Rattus norvegicus: one gene and its partners. The protein of the gene in region 2 interacts with the protein of the main gene of each other region in a pairwise test. Links are inferred from orthologs where the notes say so. Each region holds a gene or a part of one and is shown on either strand. Other genes may lie near its edges. The genes, in order: Hmbox1, C7h8orf33, Cep70 and Hap1.

Region 1 (3,563 bases), on a different chromosome or scaffold from region 2:
CAGCATCAGGAGAAGTATGACTTCATTTCACTTGCCATTTACTTGCCATTCCACTTGTCAGATGCCTTGCCCTGCCCGCCAGGACAGCTGTTAACATAGTAAGTTCTGTGAAGTGCCCAACAGTCCGCTTGGTACTTAACCAGTGGGAAGTTTGCTGTGCATTGAAGCTGGACTCTACCCCAAGCTACACAGAGTTGAACTTCTCCCATTGAAAGATGACTAGCGACTAACCATGTTCTGATTTCCTCACCATAAAATCATGTGCAGCCACTATGTGGAGGCAGCAGATAATTTAGGGATCTATTTGCTTTTTTCGAAGAAGCAGCAATCCTGGAGAGTCATGGGATCGATGTACAGAGTCCAGGAGGCCATTCCAACAGCGACGATGTGGACGGGAACGACTACTCTGAGCAGGTGGGTGGCTGGGCTAGCCTTCTGGTTACCGTGGGGGGCAGTGGCAACTCAAGTCTGTGGGTGGTTGTATGGGGCCGGGGAGCAGCTGGTGTCCCTCCACTCTGCTCATGTGTCTAGTTAGATTTTCATGCGTTTGGAAAGGAATGTGGTAAGACTCTGTTGTCCTGTTAAATCTGTGAGTAATCTCTATCCACCCTATGGGTTTGTTGTCACACAACAGGACACTTGGCAAGCACGCAATGGGGAGGAGGAGGAGGGAAGAAGTTCAGAGGGAGGCAGAGAAGCAGAGAAGGTAGAAGAAGACAGGAGGATCTGACCCAAACAAGCAAGTTACAACACTCACACACACAGTGTTGAGAAACACTTAGGGGCATGCGGGCAGCTGTGACCGTGCCTGCCGTGGACCATGAAGGCACAAAAGGCCCCGCCCACTCCAGTCCCCATTACACTGGGAACCCTCGTGCCCAGAGGAGTGGCTAACCAGAGTCTCTCTGGACACTGACTCATCCTGTCATAATGCAATACCTGCATGGTTTCTCATCTCATCCTGCTGTGCTCTGCCTTGCTTCGGGAAAGTGTATTTAATTGTAGCCACTGCATGGAATAAGTCGATAACTGTGATTGGGGGAATTCCCCACACCCGCAAACATGTTGACAGATTTCATTAAAATGTTCTATAGGATCAAATTTCATTTCCACTTGGGAAATTCAAAGAACACACGGTCCTGTCCCTAGACTCTTTCTTCTGGTGTTTTCCTTGTCCTCAGCCGCCATGTTCTTCATTCTCAGTTGTCCTCAGCTTCCGCGTATCCACTATTGCAGCAACATGTGTGATTCTCTGCAGATTCCTTCTTAAATCCCAAAGGCTAGTGTCTAAAAGCCAGAACGAAACAGTAGTAGCCATGTGTCCCAGCAGATTATGCCCCCAAGAGACCCAGTTCTCCAAGCACAGCTCCACCCTCCGCCCGGGGGAGTGCTGTTTCTTTCTGGAAACATCCCTGTCGTTTGTCAGCAGACCCACATGGATGGATCATTGCCACCTTTTTTTGCAGATGCCCTGAGGGCAGCACATCACATGCTTCCCGCAAGGGACTTTTCTTTCCAAAGCTCTTTGGTACAGAGTCCCCTGAAGATGAGACAGGTGAGATCCGTCCCAGATCTGTGATGGCGCCTTTAGTGCCCAGCACACCTGCAGGGAGAACTTCCATCACTGCTTTATTCCTCGATTGTCTGGGTTTGCCTTGGTTTGGTTTTGGAACTTGCAGTCAGTCTCTTGCCTCGGCCTGGGCATGGTGGGGTCACAGGCGTGTGTCCCTACGCCCACCAGCAGCCTCACTGTTTACTGTGTGCGACTTAGAGGGTGGAAAGCTTCACTTAGCTCTCAGTCGGGGTCTGCACCTGCAACTTGTGTAACTGCAGACCGTCCCTGATCTGTAAGGTGCTTGTTCTACATTTCCTCCACTGTTCTCAGCAGGGACACACTGGGTCCCAGTAGCTTTGTGGATTTAGGAGTACACTAGGTCACTGTTGTATCTGTGGCAAACAGAAAAATCCAGACTATTAGTTTATTTTGATCACTTCAGCTTTGATCAGCACTAGCAATTTTTGGTAGAATAAATACTGTGCGAAAAAAGGAACAAAACAAATCATTTATATCCTTTTTATTTATTGAGTCACAAAAAATTGAAAGTCTCTGGACCTGTGTCCATTCAGTGTCTACTTAAATACAGTTCACCTCCACCATGAGATGCACTCAGCCATTTTCTCCACAGATGCTCTGTCCCCCGCACGGCACCCCTGCATGCCTTTTTGTGAGCTTGAGATTGCTGCCAGCCAACCAATAACATTCCTTTCTTATCTCTGCACGTCTAGGATGACAGCACGAGCCATAGCGACCACCAAGATCCCATCTCGTTAGCTGTGGAGATGGCGGCCGTCAACCACACTATCTTGGCATTGGCCCGGCAGGGAGCCAATGAAATCAAGACAGAGGCCCTGGATGATGACTGATCAGGGAGTTAAACAGTTAACTTAGTTTAGACGTAGCACCTTAGCAGACTTTCCTCGGTCCTTAACATGTGTTCTTACAGTATAACTTACAGTTCCTTGTATGTCAGGTAGCCATTAGGGTCTTGTTCTGTGAAGATGGCATGGTGCCCTCATTCAGCCTTTGCATATACTCTCTCAGTATTCAAACTCCAGTAAGTAAGAAGCAAACAGACAAACCTCCCTCTCCCAGCCCCTGAGGTGAAAAGACAAATCTCGCTGCTCTGTCTTAGCATTCCAAGAAAGTGCTTCCAAGTATTTAGATAACCCTCAGTTCTCAAATATTAGGCTCTGTGTAAAATCTTGGGTACCTTTAGATTCCTGTAAAACTAGGCTGTACCCCGTCCCCGCCCTAAGACTGATGGGATGCAGGCTGAGGCAGTGGCACAGGGCCGACAGACACCATCTGGCAAGGATCCGTGGAGCGGAGCACAAGGAACATAGAGCCCCACCTCGGCGTGAGACGCACTGATTCAGCTGCAATAAGCCGCCTCCTGTCACAGTGTGGCCAGGCTCTACTTCTCTGGGTGCTGTGTTACGAATGTCGTTGGAATCCCAAGCTCAGATCTTGGTTAATGCTAATGCCCAACACAGACATCCTTCTGTCTTACAAGCTGTGTGACCTAGTAGATAATATACTGCCTTCCGCCTTTGGGACCACGATTCTAAAACAAAAAAGACAAAAACCAAGTTCTGAAAAGCAAAACCCAGCTTGAGAGCAGTAGGGAAAGCATGAGCTGAGTGTCGGATGGACGCTAAGCCCAGGTCTCGGGCCGCTATACATTCCACAGCGCGATGCCAGCGCCTGCCTGGGAAGTATTGGAGTTACCTTGGAAGTTGCTTTGCCTCCTGTTGGTGCCCCCTCCCTGCTACCAGAAAGTATAGAGCTGAGGTCAAGAGTGAGTGGAAAGCAGGCTTTGTACCTGTCACCTGAGGCCCACCAAGGGTTGCTAGGACTCTGCTGGGGACCGTGGCAACTTGACTGTCACAGACGGGGATCCTTGCCTAGCTAGGTGCAGAAAAAGCAGGGGACATTGCCACCTACATGTCGAGCGCGTGGGACAGCAGGACGTCCCTGCTGTGTTCCCTTTTCTGTTCTTGTG
Region 2 (4,038 bases):
AAATGTAAGCAGAATCCAAACCTGAAGTGAGGTGTCTGGTGTCCTAGAACTCACTCTCTAGACCTGGCTGACCTGGAACTCACAGCGATCCCAGTGCTGGGATTAAAGGTGTGCACCACCTCCTTGAGGCTATGAACTCTTCCTACTTCATACCTTCAGGAACTTCCACTAGTGAGATGGTGCCACCCCGTAATCGTCCCAAACAGGACCACCAGCAGGGACCGAGTATTCATTTGCCTTTGGTGGAATTCTCAAACACCCACATTCCATTCCCTGACTCCTGTAGTGTTTTAAATGAGATGTCTTCTATAAATCTCTGGAGTTTGAATCCTTGGTCCCCAGTTGTTGGCTGTTTGGGAAGGATTAGGAGGTGTGTTCTTGTTGGAGGAGGTGTGTTACTGAGGGCTGGGTTTAAGGTTTTCAAAGCCTCTTACCATGCCCATGGTGTTCGCTTCCTCCTGCTTTTGGATCGAGATGTGAGCTCTCAGCTGCTGTTCCAGTCCTCCTCTGCCATGCTTTCCTTCCATCATCATAAATTTTGTCCCCCTGGACAAATTTGTCCCCTAATCAAACTATTTTTCTAAGTTGCCTTGGCCAGAGTGTTTTATGGCCATATCGTAAAGTAAAAATGCATTTAATCTAACTGTAAAAGTTCCCATCATCTTTTTCAGTTTCAACATTGTTTAAAAAGTCCCAAGGTAATCTCTTAACTATAGACCCCGGTAAAGTCAAAAGTAAAATTATATACTTCCGACGTACAAGGGCACAGTATGTACGCTGGCATTCCAAAACTGTGGAATAGAGGCATAGCGAAGAGATACAAAATACCAAACCCTGAAGCTCCGTGTCTGGTATCTGCAGTCCCACGGTTAGACCGCTATGATAGCTATTGCTATTCTTGGTTGTCAACTTGAAAACAAACGTCTGGAATTATCCTAAAACCCACGGGACTGGGTACACCTGTAAGAGAGTTTTTCTTGAGGTGGGAAGATGCACCTTAAATCTGGGCCACGTCTTCGGGTGGCAGCCTATATAAAGGTCGTGGAAGAAGGACGTTCTTGCTCTTTGCATGCTTACTCCTACTCTCGCTGGCAAGTTCACTCCTTCATTGCTATTAGAGCCTAGTTCTTCAGGATTGTGATGTATACTGGAAACCAGCTGAACCATCTGGCTTTATGTGTGCCCCGCCCCGAACCGCCCTGCATGTCCACCTTGCCCCACCTCTGGGCGTTCCCCTCCACCCCGCGGGTTCCATTCTCCCCAGGGATCGTCTTGTTTTTTGGCGGCGCACTCTGCTGGGTTTTCCGAGGCCTTAAGTTAAGTTCCTGTGCACTCTGTCAACCCAAATTACAAGCACAACCTGGAGCGCTCCGTCCCGCGGTGAGCATTGGCTCTGGGTCCGCTGTACTTTCTGCGGAACCTTGTGTCGTAGACCTGTTTCCAGGGGAGTGAGTTCGCTATGGGATTTTTAGGATTTACTAGCTTCCGGTGACCTCTCCAGCTAATGGCGGTAAGCTGTGCGAGGTGTGTTTGTGGCGAGGCCCTAGGTGGGGAGACCCTGTGAATTTCGTCCTGTCCCACGTTTTTCAGGAGCCAGGGCATCCTGCTCGGGAGGCACCAGCAGCCTCAAGCCGGAGAACTAATCGCGCTCCGCGCAGACCTCAGCTCTCTCGCCCAGCTTCCGGTGCCTCGGATCCTCCTCTTCGTAATTCAGTGCAACCTACATGTGACTCCGCCAACAGGACACATCCCGTAGGCAACACAGTATCGATGAAGCAAAAGAAAAAGAAAACCCCGAACAGGGTCTCTGGGACAAATGGAAAGGAAAAGCCCTCCGAGAATCCTACTCCAGATGAAGCTCCCCCTAGTGCTGAGGCCCAGGCAAGGATGGGACTCCCTGTGAGCTTTCTGGATGCTAACCCGCCTACCTGTGTGGGCTAGGTGTGCGGAATTAAGGCGCTGAAGGTATGGGAGTGGAGTCTGCGGGATCCTATTGCCTGCCATGTCCTCCTTTCTACCACAGGCGGAGCAGCTGGCGCGGGAGCTGGCCTGGTGTGTGGAACAGCTGGAGCTGGGTCTCAGGACGCAGAGACCCACCCCGAAACAGAGTGAGGGACCCTACTTTATAGTTAAGGAAATGTAAACCATGACAGTGCTGTGGCCTGGTGGTGTTGCCAAGGGCTGGGATTGTTGCTTTTTGTTTGTTTACGTTGTTTTGGTTGTTTTTTTGTTTTTTTTTTTTGTTTGTTTGTTTTCCCCCCGCGAGACGGTCTCATTGTACAGATCCGCTTGCCTTTGCCTCCTGGGATTAAAGGCATGTGTCACCTCAGTCGAATGGGAATTGTTGCCTTTGTAGTAGGATGATATGGAGTGTGTTTGAAGTTACTAGCGCTTTAATTTTTTTTTTTTTTTAATCTGCAGAAGAGCAGGCTGTTGGGGCAATCCGAACGTTGCGGAGTGAAAAAACCCCCTTGCCCCGGAAGAGACAGCTGATGCGCTCCTTGTTTGGGGACTACAGGGCTCAGATGGATGCAGAGTGGCGGGAGGCCCTACGGGCTTTAAAGGCTGGTGAGGAACTAGAAAGTGATTGGTTCAGTACATTAACTTCAAGGGAGTGGCTCAGCTCAGCTGGGTTAGTGGGGAAGAGATGGGCTTGGGGGGGGGGGGAATTGTAAGCATGGAGAAAAGTATATACCTATTTGGGGACAGAGGTCCCGGAAGGAGGAGGGCCGAGGTCCTCACCTCAGTCTGTTTTGGAGATGGGAAAAACCACTCATCTGTCTTGGCCTGGGCTCACTTCACTGGCTATAAAGCTAGATCCCAGTTGGACTTTAGCTCCTGAAACAATAAATAACTTTGGCATAAATCCTGGATACGTTATTTAGATTTAAACGTTTTTGGTAAGTTACTGCATCTCTGTGAGTCTCATCAGAGAAGGCATTATTTACTTTTAGTACTGAGAAGTTAGGAGAGTTGTAACTGCACAGATCACGTTAGCTGACTCTCCACTCCCCCTTCCTACAGCCACCCGCTCGGCCCAGGTACAGCTGGTTGGCGAGGCCGCCAGAAAGAAGAGTGGAAGGGTCTGCAGGCCTCGTCCTGCAGGAAGAGCCGGAACCATGTCCGACTTGACCAACGAAGAGTTCCGGTTCAATTTCTTTTAGAGGCTCCTACATGCTGGACTAGTCATCCCCTCCGGGGTGGTGAGGGGGATTTGTCTTGAGTGCAGGGCCTTTCCAGGAATCCTCTCAGCAGAAGTGGGATTGGTTTGTCCCTCAGGACATGAAGCTGCTGGCCGGTGTGAAGCTGCCACGTGAGAACTTTTGAAAGAAATGTTCTTCCTGACAGAAGAGAGATGTGGAGTAGCTGCTGGTGATAAGGAACTGTGGAGAAGCTCTCGACACACTGGGCTCACTTTCGAAAGGGCGCCCTGGCCAGTTTTCAGTGCTTTACATATTGTTATATTGCCTTAATAAATCTTTTTTTAAAGAAATAGGATGGTGGGTGGAAGAGAGCTGTCTGTGTTATTGGAAGCAAAGTGAGACAGGGGCTGGGACTGCTTGGTCCAGCTCTGATGCCAGGGCCTCATCTGTTGTTGCTGTTGCTGTTGCTGTTTTTCTGAGCAGGTCATCATCTTCAAGGAGCCAGTGTGGCCACCATCCAGCTGTGTTTTGTTTTTAGGAGCCAAGGAGCTACTTGTCCTAACCTGAACTGAGTCTTAGCAGACCGCATTTAAAACAAAACAAAGCAAAACCCTTTGTTTGTGTGTGTGAATGGTGTGTAAGTGGGCGGGTATTAGCGTGCTGGGCACACATGTATAAAAGTGTCTTTTATTCCCCTGATGTAATTGTCTTCAGAGGCTCACTGCCTTCTTCTGCTAGCCTAGGCCTAGTCCTGGAAGCTTCTAGCCTGGGTACCATCTTATCTAGGCCTGGAATGTTTTCAGTTTCTGAGACTTACTGCTGAATAAGATCACCCTTTCTAGCTCTTTTCTTAGCTCTGGCTGGCTGGTTCAACTCAACTGTTCTGACTCCAACT
Region 3 (3,563 bases), on a different chromosome or scaffold from region 2:
ATTTTTATCAGGACACACCAATATTACACAGCTGCCAAAACCTCTCCTTTATTTCTTTATCTGTTACTTCAGGAGTAGCTGAACAATCTCAAATGGGTTCACATTAAAGAGGAACCTGGACAGATCAATCTTTCAATCTGATTTTTGGATGTAGAACTTAATCTCTCTTCTGCTTGTTTAACCTCACTGCCACTGCTACCTGGCCAGAGCCTGCCCCTTTGGAAGCAGCTGTTTCCTGAGTCAGCCTTCACATGGACCTTGATTTCTTTTTTCATCATTGTTAAAGGGATACTTGTTTCCGAGTGCCTAGTTTTAGTTTTTAGTTGTGTTCTCTGAGAATGGCCTGATCTTTTTTAATTAGACTTATCTGTTTCACTGAAATTACAAGTTGTTTTTGTTCTAATTTCCTACTAAGGCCTGCATGTGAATATTTTGTATAATGCAATAATTTAATCATTTGCATATTTCTATTCTGTTGCTGATTTTAGTAAAAACATCCGTTTTACCTTTAATTTATTTTTTTTTTAAAGATTTATTTATTCCAATGTATGTGAGTACACTGTTGTCACCAGAAGAGGGCATCAGATCTCATTACAGATGGTTGTGAGCCACCAGGTGATTGCTGGGAATTGAACTCAGGACCTTTGGAAGAACAGTCAGTGCTCTTAACTGCTGAGCCATTCGCCAGCCACTTACCTTTAATACATAAAATTTCCTATTAAATCCAGGCATGACACGCACATCTTTTATTCTAGTACTTGGGAAGCCGAGTCAGTCACATCTCTAAGTTCAAGGCTGACCTGGTCTAACATTGCCAGTTTAAGTCCATCCAGGGGTACATAGTAGAGGAAAAAAAATTCATAAAACCTTTTGAGTTCTGGAGAGATGGCTTGCTGGTCTTCCAGCAACCATCACAGCAGCCATGTTGTGTGACTTACAACCACTTCAAACTCAAGGGGCTGACACTTGTCAGGTGTTTGCAGGCAACTGAACTTAATGTGTCATGTCTACATGCAGACACACAAACACGTCCATTTAAAAATGAGACGTCTTTTGGAGAAACGGTTCTTTTCTGAAAACAGAGGCAATCATAGGAGGTTTTTCTCCACATCTTCAAGTGATTTTTTTTCTCTGCTGTGCTTGTAGCAGGAGGAAGCAGAATGGGAAAGCATCAGTAGGCTGTTGGTGACGCGTGGCTTTAAACCTTTGTGCCTAGTCAAAGGAGCCAATCTCAGAGGTAACTACTCCTGCTGATTTGTTAGGTACAAAACAGTTTTTTTAAAGAAGTTTTTTATCTTAAAATGGTTTTACTTTCCCTTTGGTTTTACTATCTCATATGTGTGTGTATATATATAATATATATGTGTGTATAATTTTTTTACAATGCAGATTTCATCGTTTTTGACAAACAATCATCACAAAGAATGAGGCAGGCTTTCAAAACACTGATGGAAGAAACCACACGTCAGCAGAGCATGCTACAGGAGCTCATAGAGACAAACCATCAGCTTAAGTAAGGAAAAGGGGAGTGCCCCTGGGGTTGTTTGCATGTATTCTAAACACAGCTCTCTGAAGAGGATCCTGAAATTTCTTTATACTTAGATTTTTTTTTTTTACGTCTTATGTGTATGAGTGTTTCTGTTAGCATGTTTGTAAATGTCCCATGGGGGTGCCTGAGCCCTAAGTGTTCAGAAGAGGGTGTGAAATCCTCTGGAGCTGATTATGAATGATTATGAAGCACTGTATGCGTGCTGGGAACTGAACCTGGGTCCTTCGGAAGAGTAGCCAGTGCTCTTAACCACTGAACCATCTCTCCAGCCCCCCAAAATTTCATTTGTAATGAATGTAAAACATAACATTTTTTACAGATAAATGGGCAAACACTGAGTAAATTACTTTAGGTAGCACTTAGCACTGACGTGTAATGGTACCTCTGTTTCTTCTGTTACTCCCTCCTGTAAGAGAGACAAGACTGGATACGTCAGGGGGCATGGCCGCAGACCTATTAGAAGATAGAAGTGTTGAGGCTAGGCTACAGTTCAATGCTAATTATGCTAACTTTTGAGTCTCGGCACCAAAATAAAATAAGAAATATTAAAAATGTGAGGGGCGGGGTTAGGGATTTAGCTCAGTGGTAGAGCGCTTGCCTAGGAAGCGCAAGGCCCTGGGTTCGGTCCCCAGCTCCGGAAAAAAAAAAAAATGTGAGGGGCTGGAGAGATGGCTCAGTGGTTAAGAGCACCGACTACTCTTCCAGAGGTCCTGAGTTCAATTCCCAGCAACCATATGGTGGCTCACAACCATCTGTAATGGGATCAGATGCCCTCTTCTGATGTGTCTGAAGACAGCAACCTAAAAGAATAAATAAATAAATAAAAATGTGAAGACATTTTGGAAAGTAACCTATTATATGACATGTATGATCTGGTTTCCTTTAACACTGATGGGATGGAATTGTGTCTGTTAATTAGAAGTGAACTTCAGCTAGAACAGAACCGAGCGGCACACCAGGAACAGCGAGCCAATGACCTTCAGCAGATCATGGACAGTGTGAAATCCAAAATTGGTGAATTAGAAGATGAATCGCTAAACAGGGTTTGCCAGGAACAAAATAGAATAAAAGACCTTCAAAAGGAATATAAAACGTTACAGGTATTCTATTGAATTAATATATTTTGTTATTTGATTAGTGTTAAAATAGTTCATCATAGTTCCAGGTAATTTCTTGTGCCTTCCATGGTGTATGTCCGGCAAAGAAGTCAAGGAAATCCAAATGTTTTGAGGTATGTAGTTGAATTGTTAGAAGAAAACAGTTAACATTGGCAGAGGCCAGTAATGCTAATAGGTGATCTTTTCTATTTAGCACCCCATTTTGACATTCATCTATGTGGCTGCTTGCTGTAGTTTCATGAGTGTTCCTAACAGGTACATGTATATGTCTGTGTGGATGTATGCCATGAATGTATGGGTGCCTTTGGAGGCCAGAAAACGGTGTTAGGTCTCCTGGAACTGGAATTACAGGAGCTTGTGAGCTGATGGTTATGGATACTGGAAACTGAATTCGGGTCCTCTAGAAGAGCAGGAAGCTCTGACACCAATGAGCCTTTCAGCATCTAATACTGCACTGTTGTGCAGCTCATTGTACCTGCACAGGGATTTTCCTGCACTTGTAAATCTAAGTCTACTTTATAGCAGCCATAGTACCATGTTTAGAGCTTTCATGTCCTATATATAGATATCAGTGCCTGAATATATCTAAGATTGTTCTATAATGAGCTCGGATTTCACTGTAAATGCCATATAATACTCTATGTATATCCCATACTGAATATTATAGAAGTCAGTTATCTGCAAAGAAATCCTAGTACAATGTATATATAATAATGTCATAATATCCAGAGTATAATTCTTGCCCTGTTTTGAGCATATGTCGCCCTGTACACAGCTCATAGTGCCTTCATACAGACCATAATGCTCTGTTTAGAGTTTATGGTGTCTTGTGTAGATCTTATAGTGTACCTGTATATGGGGTCATTTTCTTAATTGGTGATTGATGTGGGAAGCCC
Region 4 (4,045 bases), on a different chromosome or scaffold from region 2:
CAAAGTGCTGAACTCCAGATTCCGTGAGAGACCTTGTCTCAAAAAAACGAGATGGCAAGGGCCAGACAACATCTGATGTTGACCGCCGACTTCTGCCCACAGACACGGACACATTCGTACACCACATACAAAATATATTAAAATGAAATATTTTCAAAAAGGTGAAATCAATAGGATTGGCAATTGGAGGATGGTGGAGGAGAAGGGAGAACATCAAGAACGATTTTGAGATCTGAGTCCATGAGTCACCATTTCCTTTTAGCCTGTCTCGCAGTCTAAAAGCATAGACATGGCTACTGCCCTCCCTAGCTCCCACCCCCCTCTCCCAGTTCATTCAGGACCGAGAGCAAGCTTCCAAAGCATCTATTTCTCTGGGGAGCCCACCGTCCATGAACTGAAGAGCATAGGTAAAGTCGTGAAGACCGACATTGATCCTTTCAGACCCCGGGATAACGGGTGTTTTGGTGTGTGTGTGTGTGTGTGTGTGTGTGTGTGTGTGTGTGTGTACACGGAGGTCTGGAAGAGTCGTCACAGAGAAACATTTAAGTAGGATCCCCTCCGAAGATGCTTGGACTATATATAGGCCTTGCGAATTAGGGTTGGAGATAAAAGAACGAGTGGTGAACGCAGTAAGATGGAAGGCGTCTAGGGGCGAGTGCGGGAGTGTGAGCTCGAGGACCTGTGGATGACACGCAACACGTTGAAAGCCATACCGGAGTTTGGATTTCTCGCTTAATCCACCTGGGAAGACACAGGCGTACTGCCTCGATTCTCAGGTCACCTCGGAATGTATTCAATGTTGTGTAGAACAACAGAGAAAGCCCCTGGAAGCTGGGGTGACGGGAGCGCGCGCGGGAGGGCTGGGAGGGGGGGGTTGTTTCTAGGCAGAAGCTACGGGTCCCTCTACTCAAGTCCAGGGAAGCCGCGGCTTTGGACAGAACCATTCTCAGAAGATGGAAGGGAAGAGAAACCCATCATCGTGAACTCGATCCCATGGAAAAAACTGGGCACTCTCTCATCTCTTTCTTTCTTCTTCATTCATTTACGTCCTATTCCGTCACCACTGGCTGCTTTCTCGTAGGATCCCGAGTCCTCAGCACCACTAATTGATCAACGGTCACCCCTAGCGCCACACGTGGTACAGCCCAGTGGCGCCCGCTCCGAGCACAGGTTATAAAGGCTCGGCTGCGACAGCGGACTGCAGAGTCAAGATGCGCCCGAAGGAGCAGGTGCAGAGCAGTGCCGGGGACGGGACGGGGTCGGGGGACCCAGCAACAGGCACCCCCACGACCCAGCCTGCAGCGGATCCCGCTCCGGAGCCCTCGGCAGAGCCCAAACCTGCTCCGGCGCAGGGAACCGGGTCCGGACAGAAATCAGGATCCCGAACCAAGACAGGAGGAAGCTTTTGTAGGTCCAGGATCCGTGGCGACTCGGACGCACCATGGACCCGCTACATATTCCAGGGGCCTTACGGTCCCCGGGCTACTGGCCTGGGCACTGGAAGGGCTGAGGGAATCTGGAAGACGCCAGCCGCGTACATCGGCCGAAGGCCCGGCGTGTCCGGCCCTGAGCGCGCGGCGTTTATTCGAGAGCTGCAGGAAGGTAAACTGAGTCTCGGGGATCCCACACTGGGCGTTATTAGGGCATCTCTAATAACCACCGACTCAGGCGCCCCGCCCCCTTGTGGCTCTCAGTCCCACCTTTCCACCACCCCTGCGAGACCACTGTCCGCCGTGCCTGTTTGGTTTCCCTTTCCCCATCTTTTCCTCTGTCTCAGGTTCCCCGATTATTGTAGGTGCGTCAGATCTAGGGCTGTCTTGCTCTCCCCGCCCCCCTCTTCGCGCCTGTTGCTGTGGCAGATCTGCGCACTCTCAATGCCCCCTCCCCGTCTACCGCAGTGCCAGCAGAGGGGCGGGGGTTGCGGGTGCGCTGCCGGGTGCGCTTTGAGCCTGCGCTAGCCCGCAGGACCAGCCAGCGTGGGTGGGTAGAGCGGGGGGCGGGGCGGGAGCCTTTGACACTGCTTGGCCGGAGGGGTCTGGGTCGCGCTTTCCTGAAGCAGGATTGAAGCGGGAGGAGTGGGCGGGGCACTGGCCTTCTGTCCCTCCTCTTCTGGGCGGGGCAATTTTAGGCTGAGGTGCCCGCTTCTGGTGCTGAAGAAGTAAGTCTACTTGGCCCTCCTGTCACATGCAACAGGTTTAGGATGGGTTACGTGCATCTGTTACGATCGAGGAGTCTCCAGTGAGCTGGCTAAGCTGCCGACTGAGTCAGGCATGATGAATCCAGTATTTCCCCTGACTTCTTATCTCGAGGGACCAGAGACCCAGGGGTCTTGAAAGTCTGGTTCCTGAGCCTGGAGGATGGTTTTGCCTTTACAGCACCCAGGCCCCTCCTGAGAAGGCAGGAGTGCTGAGATCCGGAGCTGTGAAGAGGGTGTTAGGGCCAGATAGAACGCAGTCTCACCACTTTTGTTGTGAGGGATGTAGGGGGCTGTGGGCAGCCTCGGCTCCTTTCCCTGATCCACTCAGGCCTTTCCTCCTGCAGCGCTGTGTCCTAATCCACTGCCCAGGAAGAAGATCACCGAAGATGATATCAAAGTGATGTTGTATTTGCTGGAAGAGGTGGGTACCGCCTTGCCTTCTTCACTCAGGCCAGCCCTCATTTTAGCTCTTCCCTACAGGACTTAGGGCTTTTGTCTGTTTTCTGCTTGCCTGGGTGCCAACTTGAGGGCCCCTTTCCTGAAAGGCACATAGATTTCAGAGGACCAAATCTGGGCTGATCTTTTTCCTCAGGATGAGAAACTGAGTCAGACCCCAGAGTTGGTTAATAGTCTTTGGTTTAGTACTTGGACGGCTGGGTGCTGGGGCAACTTTCTTCTTGTGGCTTAGCCCCTGCTCTCGCCCTCCTGTTTGGGAGAAGTATGGAATGGTTGGCTCTCCTTTTGCAGAAAGAACGGGACCTGAACACAGCCGCTCGCATCGGCCAGTCCCTGGTGAAACAGAATAGTGTTCTGATGGAGGAGAATAACAAGCTGGAAACCATGCTGGGCTCAGCCAGAGAGGAGGTATCTGGGCTCCTAAGGACCAAGAGGAGGGTTCGGCTTGTTCCCTCCCCCAACCAGCACCTGTTCTGCCCCTCCGTGCTCACCTTTCTGCGGCCCCTTTCTCCTGCCCTAGATTTTACATCTCCGGAAGCAGGTGAACCTGCGAGATGATCTCCTTCAGCTCTACTCGGACTCCGATGACGATGAGGAGGATGAAGAGGATGAGGAAGAGGAAGAGGGAGAAGAGGAGGAACGAGAAGGACAGAGGGACCAAGATCAGCAGCACGACCATCCCTATGGTGCCCCCAAGCCGTGCGTGTTCTGCCTTTGTGCCTCGGTTGTCCGTTTGTAAACGGGCATGGGCAGTTAGCCTGCTGGCATTGCCTCGTCTGGGGAAGCCTTGGGGGACTGGGATCCTCCACCCCTTACAGTCTGACTCTCATTGCCCCCTTGCCAGGCCCCCTAAGGCTGAGACGCTGCACCACTGCCCACAGCTGGAAGCCCTGAAGCAGAAGCTGAAACTGCTGGAAGAAGAGAACGACCATCTTCGAGAGGAGGTGAGGACAGGGAGGGGGCGTGCCCTTGGGCAGGGGAGGGTGACTGACGGCGGGGGTGGGGGGGGATGGTGGCGGCCTTACCCCTTCCTATTCCCCTTCCTCCAGGCCTCCCACCTTGACAACCTGGAAGACAAAGAACAGATGCTCATTCTGGAGTGTGTGGAACAGTTTTGTACGTGACACTGTAATCCGGGGAAAGGGCGCTGTCCCAAGAGCTGATAGGAAGAACTCAGGGTTTGGGGTCTGGAGATGCAGTCCTGGCTCCGGCACTTTGCCGCTGTGTTAGCACGGCCAAATTCCTCGGCTTCTCTGAATCTTCATCTTTACAATGAGGACTGATAACCCCGGCCTGCTCTTCATCCCCTCAGGGTTTATGAGGGTCAGGAGAAGCATCACCGTTGAGCATGGAGATGCACTGCACGCATGTAATCTCAGGGAGGGTCAGGTG

What was found.
Region 1: the proteins of C7h8orf33 (region 2) and Hmbox1 interact in binary tests that used the Homo sapiens proteins (3 or more experiments, as listed by UniProt). The two-hybrid records come from large-scale screens. The link is inferred for Rattus norvegicus from reciprocal best matches to the Homo sapiens genes C8orf33 and HMBOX1.
Region 3: the proteins of C7h8orf33 (region 2) and Cep70 interact in binary tests that used the Homo sapiens proteins (3 or more experiments, as listed by UniProt). The link is inferred for Rattus norvegicus from reciprocal best matches to the Homo sapiens genes C8orf33 and CEP70.
Region 4: the proteins of C7h8orf33 (region 2) and Hap1 interact in a two-hybrid assay, tested with the Homo sapiens proteins (2 studies listed by BioGRID and IntAct). The link is inferred for Rattus norvegicus from reciprocal best matches to the Homo sapiens genes C8orf33 and HAP1.

The regions. Positions count from the first base shown.
Region 1 is NC_086033.1:43,253,992-43,257,554, reverse strand, and holds part of Hmbox1 (homeobox containing 1), read left to right. Parts: intron 1-319; coding exon of another isoform or gene 320-322; coding exon 323-414; intron 415-634; coding exon of another isoform or gene 635-730; exon of another isoform or gene 731-739; intron 740-2,286; coding exon 2,287-2,424; 3' UTR 2,425-3,563. UniProt on the Homo sapiens protein: Binds directly to 5'-TTAGGG-3' repeats in telomeric DNA. Associates with the telomerase complex at sites of active telomere processing and positively regulates telomere elongation.
Region 2 is NC_086025.1:110,561,488-110,565,525, forward strand, and holds C7h8orf33 (hypothetical protein LOC681282), read left to right. Parts: upstream 1-1,247; 5' UTR 1,248-1,504; coding exon 1,505-1,510; intron 1,511-1,590; coding exon 1,591-1,881; intron 1,882-2,023; coding exon 2,024-2,108; intron 2,109-2,421; coding exon 2,422-2,568; intron 2,569-3,024; coding exon 3,025-3,164; 3' UTR 3,165-3,498; downstream 3,499-4,038.
Region 3 is NC_086026.1:108,710,148-108,713,710, forward strand, and holds part of Cep70 (centrosomal protein of 70 kDa), read left to right. Parts: exon of another isoform or gene 1-278; intron 279-1,146; coding exon 1,147-1,237; intron 1,238-1,389; coding exon 1,390-1,513; intron 1,514-2,468; coding exon 2,469-2,649; intron 2,650-3,563.
Region 4 is NC_086028.1:85,783,648-85,787,692, reverse strand, and holds the start of Hap1 (huntingtin-associated protein 1), read left to right. Parts: upstream 1-1,189; 5' UTR 1,190-1,211; coding exon 1,212-1,602; intron 1,603-2,541; coding exon 2,542-2,618; intron 2,619-2,944; coding exon 2,945-3,061; intron 3,062-3,173; coding exon 3,174-3,352; intron 3,353-3,497; coding exon 3,498-3,597; intron 3,598-3,702; coding exon 3,703-3,769; intron 3,770-4,045. UniProt on the Homo sapiens protein: Originally identified as neuronal protein that specifically associates with HTT/huntingtin and the binding is enhanced by an expanded polyglutamine repeat within HTT possibly affecting HAP1 interaction properties.